Tribolium castaneum: one gene and its partner. The protein of the gene in region 1 purifies or fractionates together with the protein of each later gene. This does not show direct contact. Links are inferred from orthologs where the notes say so. Each region holds a gene or a part of one and is shown in the gene's direction. Other genes may lie near its edges.

Evidence for each region. Proteins that work in one complex are often made in the same cells at the same time.
Region 2: the proteins of P58IPK (region 1) and shv purify together in Homo sapiens (affinity purification with mass spectrometry; 3 studies listed by BioGRID and IntAct, with this or other methods). This does not show direct contact. The link is inferred for Tribolium castaneum from reciprocal best matches to the Homo sapiens genes DNAJC3 and DNAJB11.

The regions. Positions count from the first base shown.
Region 1 is NC_087398.1:4,236,936-4,240,903, forward strand, and holds P58IPK (dnaJ homolog subfamily C member 3), read left to right. Parts: upstream 1-1,335; 5' UTR 1,336-1,433; coding exon 1,434-1,533; intron 1,534-1,580; coding exon 1,581-1,691; intron 1,692-1,747; coding exon 1,748-1,947; intron 1,948-1,999; coding exon 2,000-2,938; intron 2,939-3,127; coding exon 3,128-3,274; 3' UTR 3,275-3,468; downstream 3,469-3,968. Other genes in the region: Uxs (UDP-glucuronic acid decarboxylase 1), read left to right, coding at 1-311, 360-680, 1,034-1,269; RpL35A (large ribosomal subunit protein eL33), read left to right, coding at 3,782-3,968. UniProt on the Homo sapiens protein: Involved in the unfolded protein response (UPR) during endoplasmic reticulum (ER) stress.
Region 2 is NC_087398.1:6,633,880-6,637,402, forward strand, and holds shv (dnaJ homolog shv), read left to right. Parts: upstream 1-1,404; 5' UTR 1,405-1,530; coding exon 1,531-2,328; intron 2,329-2,376; coding exon 2,377-2,587; intron 2,588-2,639; coding exon 2,640-2,704; 3' UTR 2,705-2,922; downstream 2,923-3,523. Other genes in the region: zinc finger protein 239, read right to left, coding at 1-3, 51-327, 372-1,107. UniProt on the Homo sapiens protein: As a co-chaperone for HSPA5 it is required for proper folding, trafficking or degradation of proteins.

The DNA.
Region 1 (3,968 bases):
CACGGGGCGGAAGCGCAACGTCGAGCACTGGATAGGTCACGAGAATTTCGAATTAATTCACCACGACATAGTCAATCCTTTATTTATTGAAGTCGACGAGATCTACCATCTCGCAAGCCCCGCTAGTCCCCCCCATTACATGTACAACCCGGTCAAAACCATCAAAACTAACACTTTAGGTACAATTAACATGCTAGGCCTTGCCAGAAGACTGAACGCCAAAATTCTAATCGCCAGCACTTCGGAAGTGTACGGAGACCCCGACATCCACCCCCAGCCCGAGACGTACTGGGGACATGTCAATCCCATAGGTTGGCGACGGTGTCGTTTTTCCCCTTTGTTACTTTTGCAGTTTGTAGGCCCTCGCGCGTGTTACGACGAAGGCAAACGAGTCTCAGAGACTTTAACTTATGCTTATGCCAAGCAGGAAAACATGCAGGTGCGGGTGGCCCGCATTTTCAACACTTACGGCCCCCGTATGCACATGAATGACGGCAGAGTCGTCTCTAATTTTATCCTCCAGGCGCTGCAAAACGACGTAATCACGATTTACGGCTCAGGGCAGCAAACACGCTCGTTCCAGTACATTTCCGACCTGGTCGATGGGCTGGTAGCGCTGATGAACAGCAACTATACGCTCCCGGTGAACTTGGGGAATCCCGTGGAGCATTCAATTAACGGTATTTTTTACCTAACATTTTACTTGTATCTTTAACCGTATTCGCAGCGTTTTAAAAAATACGAGACGAAGCGCAAATTTTGAATTAATAATTTGTTTGCTCATGTTTTTGTATGAAAATTTTATTCGGCAGTTTTTGTCAGTCTGTTAAAGGAGCAAAGCTCAACATTTCTGCTTTTTTTCCACGTAATCAGTGAATTGGTTGGAATTAAAACCATTTGACGCCGAGACAGTATAACGCCTGAAGCGCTCTCTACCGTATTATTTTTTGGGTTCAGAAAATCCTGCTATTTTGTATCTCGCTTCCCCTCCTAAGTTGTAGTCCTCCGTAGTGTCAGGGATGATTATTTCCAGAATTTGCCTCAATAATTAAAGACCTGGTGGGCGGCCGCAGCAAAATCAATCATTTGGCGGAAGTGGAGGACGATCCGCAGCGCCGCAGGCCGGACATCACCCGCGCGAAAAAATACCTAAACTGGGAGCCGAAGGTGGACCTCAACACCGGCCTCCAAAAGACTGTCGACTACTTCCGCCAGGAGCTGCACCGGTTTAAGCACTCACAGAGAAACAAGTTTTTACCGAAATTGTGATAATTGTGGTTTTGTTGTAAATAAATTTTAAAATTTTCGTGTTTTTCTCAATTGGTAAGCCTGCGATGTGCTGGACCAATCAGCGCAAACCACGAAACGTAAATTTGTTGTGTTCGTGTATGTCACAAAATGGAATAAAATCGTTCGTTAAGTGGGTGTAAATAATGTTAAAGACAGTACAAATGGTACAATTAATGGAAACGACACATAAAAACCTCTGGTTGAAGTTAACACCGTATTTAGCGCTATTTATCTTTATTGACCGTAAGTGGACATAACCTCAAAATGTTGCGATTAATTCGGTTTTCCAGTTTCGGAATGTATCAATCAGGCCGAAGTTGACCGGCATTTAGAGTTAGGGAAACAATACTTAGCTAGGGGCCAATTAGGGGACGCCTTGAGCCATTATCATTCGGCTGTTGGTAAATATTTACCCCGACTTCAATAACACCGTTCACAATCAATCTATTTTTTCCAGAGGGCGACCCTCACAATTATTTAACTTATTTCAAACGCGGCACGGTTTATCTCGCTTTAGGCAAGGCCAAGAATGCAATCAGCGACTTTGACTTGGTCCTGGAGATGAAACCAGACTTCACCGCTGCTAGGATTAGTCGAGGAAATATTCACTTAAAACAGGCCAATTATGACCTGGCCCAGTTAGATTTTTATAATGTGGTAAGTAACGACTCACATAATACAGTACTTAAGTACTACAACAAAAACTCAGTTAAAAACAGACCCTTACAACCAAGAGGCCAATGATTTGATTGCACGGATAGACCCAGCCAAGGAGCGAGTGCGTTTGGCTGAATATTATTACGCCCATGATGATTACGTAAACGCAATTCACTTAGTCACGGAGGCCCTAGAGACAAGCCCCTGGGCCCCCCAGTTGTACGAGCTGCGGTCCCAGATGCATATGCACAACGGTGACGAAATGGCAGCTGTCAGTGATATCAGATCGGCCACAAAGCTACAAAGCGATAACACCGAAGGTTACTTCAAGTTATCGCAATTATTATACAAACTGGGGCATGCTTCCGAGTCCCTTAAATTCATAAGGGAATGTCTCAAACTTGATCCCGAACACAAAGATTGCTTCCCATTTTATAAAAAAATCAAAAAAGTTGAGAAATTCCTAACTGAGGCTGAGGCAGCTCTTGAGAACAAGAATTATCAGGAGTGCATTGATGCTGCTCTCAAGGCTGAAAAAAACGAAAAGGAGGTTCAGAATGTTGTGTACAATGCCAAGCGGTTGTTGTGCGCTTGTTATTCGAATGATGAGCAGTCGGAGGAGGCGGTGACGGCCTGTACTCAAGCGCTTGAAATAAACGACGACCCAAATGTTTACTGTGATAGGGCAGAGGCGTATTTACAGTCAGAACTGTACGATGACGCTATTAGGGACTACAAGGCGGCGTTGGAAATGAATTCGCAGTTTGAAAGGGCGAGGGAAGGGCTCAGCAAGGCCGAAAATCGCCAAAAACAGTCAGAACGTCGCGACTATTATAAAATCCTAGGTGTTAAAAGGACAGCTTCCAAGCGGGAGATCACGAAAGCGTACCGAAAAATGGCACAAAAGTGGCACCCCGACAATTACCAGAACGACGAGAAGATGAAGAAAATTGCCGAGAAGAAGTTTATTGACATTGCTGCCGCTAAAGAGGTTTGTTTGATAAAAAATATTATAATCTGTTCATGACTGTTTTAAACACGCTGCAGATGTTTTAGATATTTTTTTAAATTAAATTAGTTTAAAACGGTTTTTGGGTTCAGAAAAGTCTGCGATTTTGTATCTCGTTTTGCCTCCTGAGTTATAGTCCTCCGTAGTTTTGTGCTAACACTCGTTTTTTAGGTTTTGACGGACGATGAGAAGCGAAGACAGTTTGATAACGGGGAAGACCCGCTTGACCCTGAGTCAGGTCGGGGAGGAATGCCCAACTTCCATCAGTTCCACACTTTCCACGGAAGTCCGTTCCAGTTCAAATTTCATTTCAATTAAATATTTTGTGTTGTGTGGCCAACTCAGGATAAGTGTGTGATAAAAATCCATCACGGAATTTGCCAGAACAAGCTTATCTAGTTATTTTGTGTAAAAAGGGACTGATATCATGTACATAAATTAAATGAGTAGTTTTTACCATTTGTCCTTACATTGTACATATTTATATGATAATAAAATATTTATATTACGAACTTGTCTTGTTATTTGAAAGTCGGGCCCCCAAACTTAGTGACTTTACCGTTACCGCGTTGGCAATAACATCGATCTCATTGGCCGACGTTACGACTGTCATTCTTTTTGACAGATTTTGCTTTCGGTAAGTTTGGGTTTGCAACTTTCCTTAAATTAATTAAATCTTGTAAAAATCGGCAAAAATAACCCAAAAGTTGGCCCTAAAACGGTTTAATGTGCCCCAAGTGCGTGTTTTCCCGGGCGGATTGTGTCACTTCGCCCCGATAAAGTCGGATTAACCTAACTTGTTTACATGTGTGTCATTTTGTAGCGATGGCAGACGCAGCAGCGAAGAAACCCAAGGCGGCCAAAAAGGCGAAAGAAGGCGCGGAGAATGTCGCCCCAAAAAAGCGGCCTCATAAGAGACATGGGAGGTTATACGCGAAAGCGATTTTCACGGGTTACAAGCGCGGCCTTCGCAACCAGCACGAAAACACGGCCCTTTTGAAAATCGAAGGCA
Region 2 (3,523 bases), about 2.4 Mb from region 1:
CACCTAAAAATAAAATTTAACCACTGTCCCCGTTTTTCACCATAAATTACTGGTATGTTTTCTTCTTGGAAACCCCCAAATGCAGTTTTTCATGAACAGCCAAGTTGTACTTTTCCGCAAACTTTTTCCCACAAGTGCCACAAGAAAATTTCTTCTCGCCAGTATGCACCCTCATGTGTCTTTTAAGGTGTGACGCTGATATCAGCAAAAAGCCACAGACGTCACATTTGTACGGTTTTTGCCCAGTGTGAGTGATTTTATGAATATTGAAGGAGGTGTGGTGAACGAATCTTTTACCACACGTATCACATTGAAACGGTAGTTCCCCTAAAACAACCAATCATTTCCTAGCAAAAAACAAGCGTCCACACCTGTGTGGATGGGTGTGTGCCTCATCAAAGCCCCCTTCTGCGTGAATGATTTGTTGCAGTAGACACACGTGAAGGGATTGATCCCTTTGTGCATCCCTACGTGGATTGTTAAAGCTTGTTGGCGCTTGTACGCCTGGCCACAAATTTCGCAAATGTAGGGACGTTCCTTGCTATGCGCCGACATGTGATTTTTCAGTTCCGTTGGCGTTTTCCAGGTTTTGGAACACTGAGTACATTTATAGGGTTTTGGATCCGTCCCATCCTTCTGTTTTTTCTTCACACTTTCACTTCCCGCTTCTTTCGTAAACAAATCCAGCGTGGACTGAATCTCAGACACCGAACTGAGATCATCAATATTAAAACCTGTCTCCAAATCATGCGTCTTCAGGTGATCCTTGAAACTCGCACCGGGGATTTTTTGACCACACATTGTGCATTCCTCGCTTTTATTGCTCGCTTCTCGTTCAATGTAGTTTTTGTTGGGGCAGTGTTTACGCAAATATTGTTTAAACTTGTTTTCGATGTTCCTTGCTCTAACTTTAATACTGTCTAGTTCATTCAGGAGGCGATAACACATCTCGCAAACGAAATAATTTGTTATGCAAAACTCTTCCTCAGCGCAGTCTTGGAGCAACATCAACAGAGGGGTTCTTGTATCGTTGGAGACCGATTGTCGGAGATCGAAGTGCAGAGTTTCGACAGGACACTCGCACAACGTGCACAGTGGTTGAGCCATTTCAAGAAATCGGCTTAACACCAAGCACCACACCACCACCAATTTTAATTTGAAAAAAATGTATTCACTTGTAAGGTTATGTTTTTGTTTATGTCAACTGTCATCACCCCAAAAAAATATTTGTTACTTAAATCCTCCGAATAGCTTCCTGGTTATGTCAAGAAATAATAACCAGCACGTATTAAGCCCAATTTGCGTTATTTTAATGCCATTTCAATTACTTTTTGCACATTTTTATTGTCAATGTCAAGTTGGTTGCCTAAATCGACCTAATCAAATGTCAGTCGGGGAATTAAATCCACCAATCAGCGCAATCCACATGTTTTGAGAAGGTCGTTTCGTGTTTCTCGCTGTGTGAGCATAACGATAAAAATCCATTAATTAAATTAATATTAATATAATGTTTGAAGTTTTTATCCAAAAATGAACGTGAACTCTGTGCCCGTCTTGCTTTTACTGACTTTCATTTCGGTAACCTCAGTTCTAGCAGGGCGAGACTTTTACAAAATACTGGGTGTCTCAAAAAGCGCCAGTTTGCACGAAATCAAAAAGGCCTATCGTCGCCTAGCCAAAGAGCTGCACCCTGACAAGAACCAGGAAGATCCGGAAGCCTCCCAAAAATTCCAGGACCTGGGGGCCGCCTACGAAGTCCTCTCAGACGAGGAAAAACGCAAGAAGTATGATAGATGCGGGGAGGACTGTCTCCAGAAAGACGGGATGATGGACAGTGGGATGGACCCCTTCGCCAGCTTCTTCGGCGACTTCGGGTTCCCCTTCGGGGGCGGCGAACAGAAGCACGAGACTCCGAGAGGCGCTGACGTGGTGATGGACATCGCCGTGACCTTGGAGGATTTATATTCGGGCACTTTTATCGAAATTACGCGGAATAAGCCGGTGATGAGGGCGGCCAAAGGCACCAGGAAGTGCAACTGCCGGCAAGAGATGATCACGCGGAATCTGGGGCCCGGGAGGTTCCAGATGATGCAGCAGACGGTGTGCGACGAGTGTCCGAACGTTAAGCTAGTCAATGAGGAGCGCGTTTTGGAGATGGAAGTGGAGCCGGGGATGGTTGATGGGCAAGAAACGAAGTTTACGGCTGAGGGGGAGCCCCATTTAGATGGGGACCCTGGCGATTTGATACTTAAGATAAAGACGCAGCCGCATCCCGTTTTTGAGCGCAGAGGGGACGATCTGTACACTAACATCACGATTAGTTTACAAGTAATTGTGTTAAGTATTTAGGGACGAGAGTAATTTTTGTCTTGTTAGGACGCCCTTGTGGGGTTCACTATGGAACTCCAGCATCTGGATGGTCACATGGTTTCGATAAGTAGGGACAAAATCACTTGGCCCAATGCCAGGATAAGGAAGAAAGGAGAAGGCATGCCAAACTATGATAATAATAACTTGCATGGGAATTTATTTATTACATTTGATGTAGAGTTCCCCAAACAAGAATTATCAGATGATGACAAAGAAGGTATTCGCGTTAAAGTTGCCAATTTCAAGCGCTCACCACAATTCTGTTTCAGCTATCAAGAAAATTCTAAATCAGAGCTCAAGAAACAAAGTTTATAATGGACTAAGAGGGTTTTAATTTAATTTAATTATAAATAGCAAGTTTTGTATATAAAAAAGACTATAATGAAGTGTGCTTGAGTGTATTGTGAATTAATTTATTACCTTTATTCTTACTCTGTTAAGGTATGACCTTAAAACCTTTGCCCGTTCATAGACTTTTCTACAGTTTTACGTTTCCTGTTCATTTATCAAATGTAAAGGAAAATTTTGTAATATATTGTACTGTCTTTACCAGTTGTTGTGCTTTTATTCCTCTAAATATTGTTAGGCATGACCTGCATACAAAGTGCCGATTAACACAATAATAGAGCGATATTGTTGGTCAATTTTTGTTTTGAATAGTGGAAGAATTTGTATACAGATATGAACAGCAAGTGGGTGTAAAATAAATATGTTATCAGGTTGCAAGGAAATGGTATTCCAGTGACTGTTAGCAATTTGAGGTTGTTTTATTGAGATTGTTCGATTGTAAGTAATTTTAACACACCTGCTTTACTACTCTGAATAAATAGAAGCGATAATTCTTCCATATTTGAGGCAAATTCGCAAAATTCCAGTTTAATTTAACCAAAATTACAGATAGTCTAGAAAAAACGTCGAAAAAGTCTTTTTATTTGTCTTTCAAAGGCTACGCAATTTTTGATAAACGGTTCAGTAAAACACCATTTTTTAAAAAAATATCAGATAGCTCGTAATCCAACGTAAAATTTTACGACTCAAATAGCCCACAGTCCTCCTCCGGCCTCCGCCCCCCTAAACAAGGCACACAATTTAAAAGTTTAGGTTGCAAATTTTTATAAAATTATTTCAACCGATTATTATACCACTATCAAAA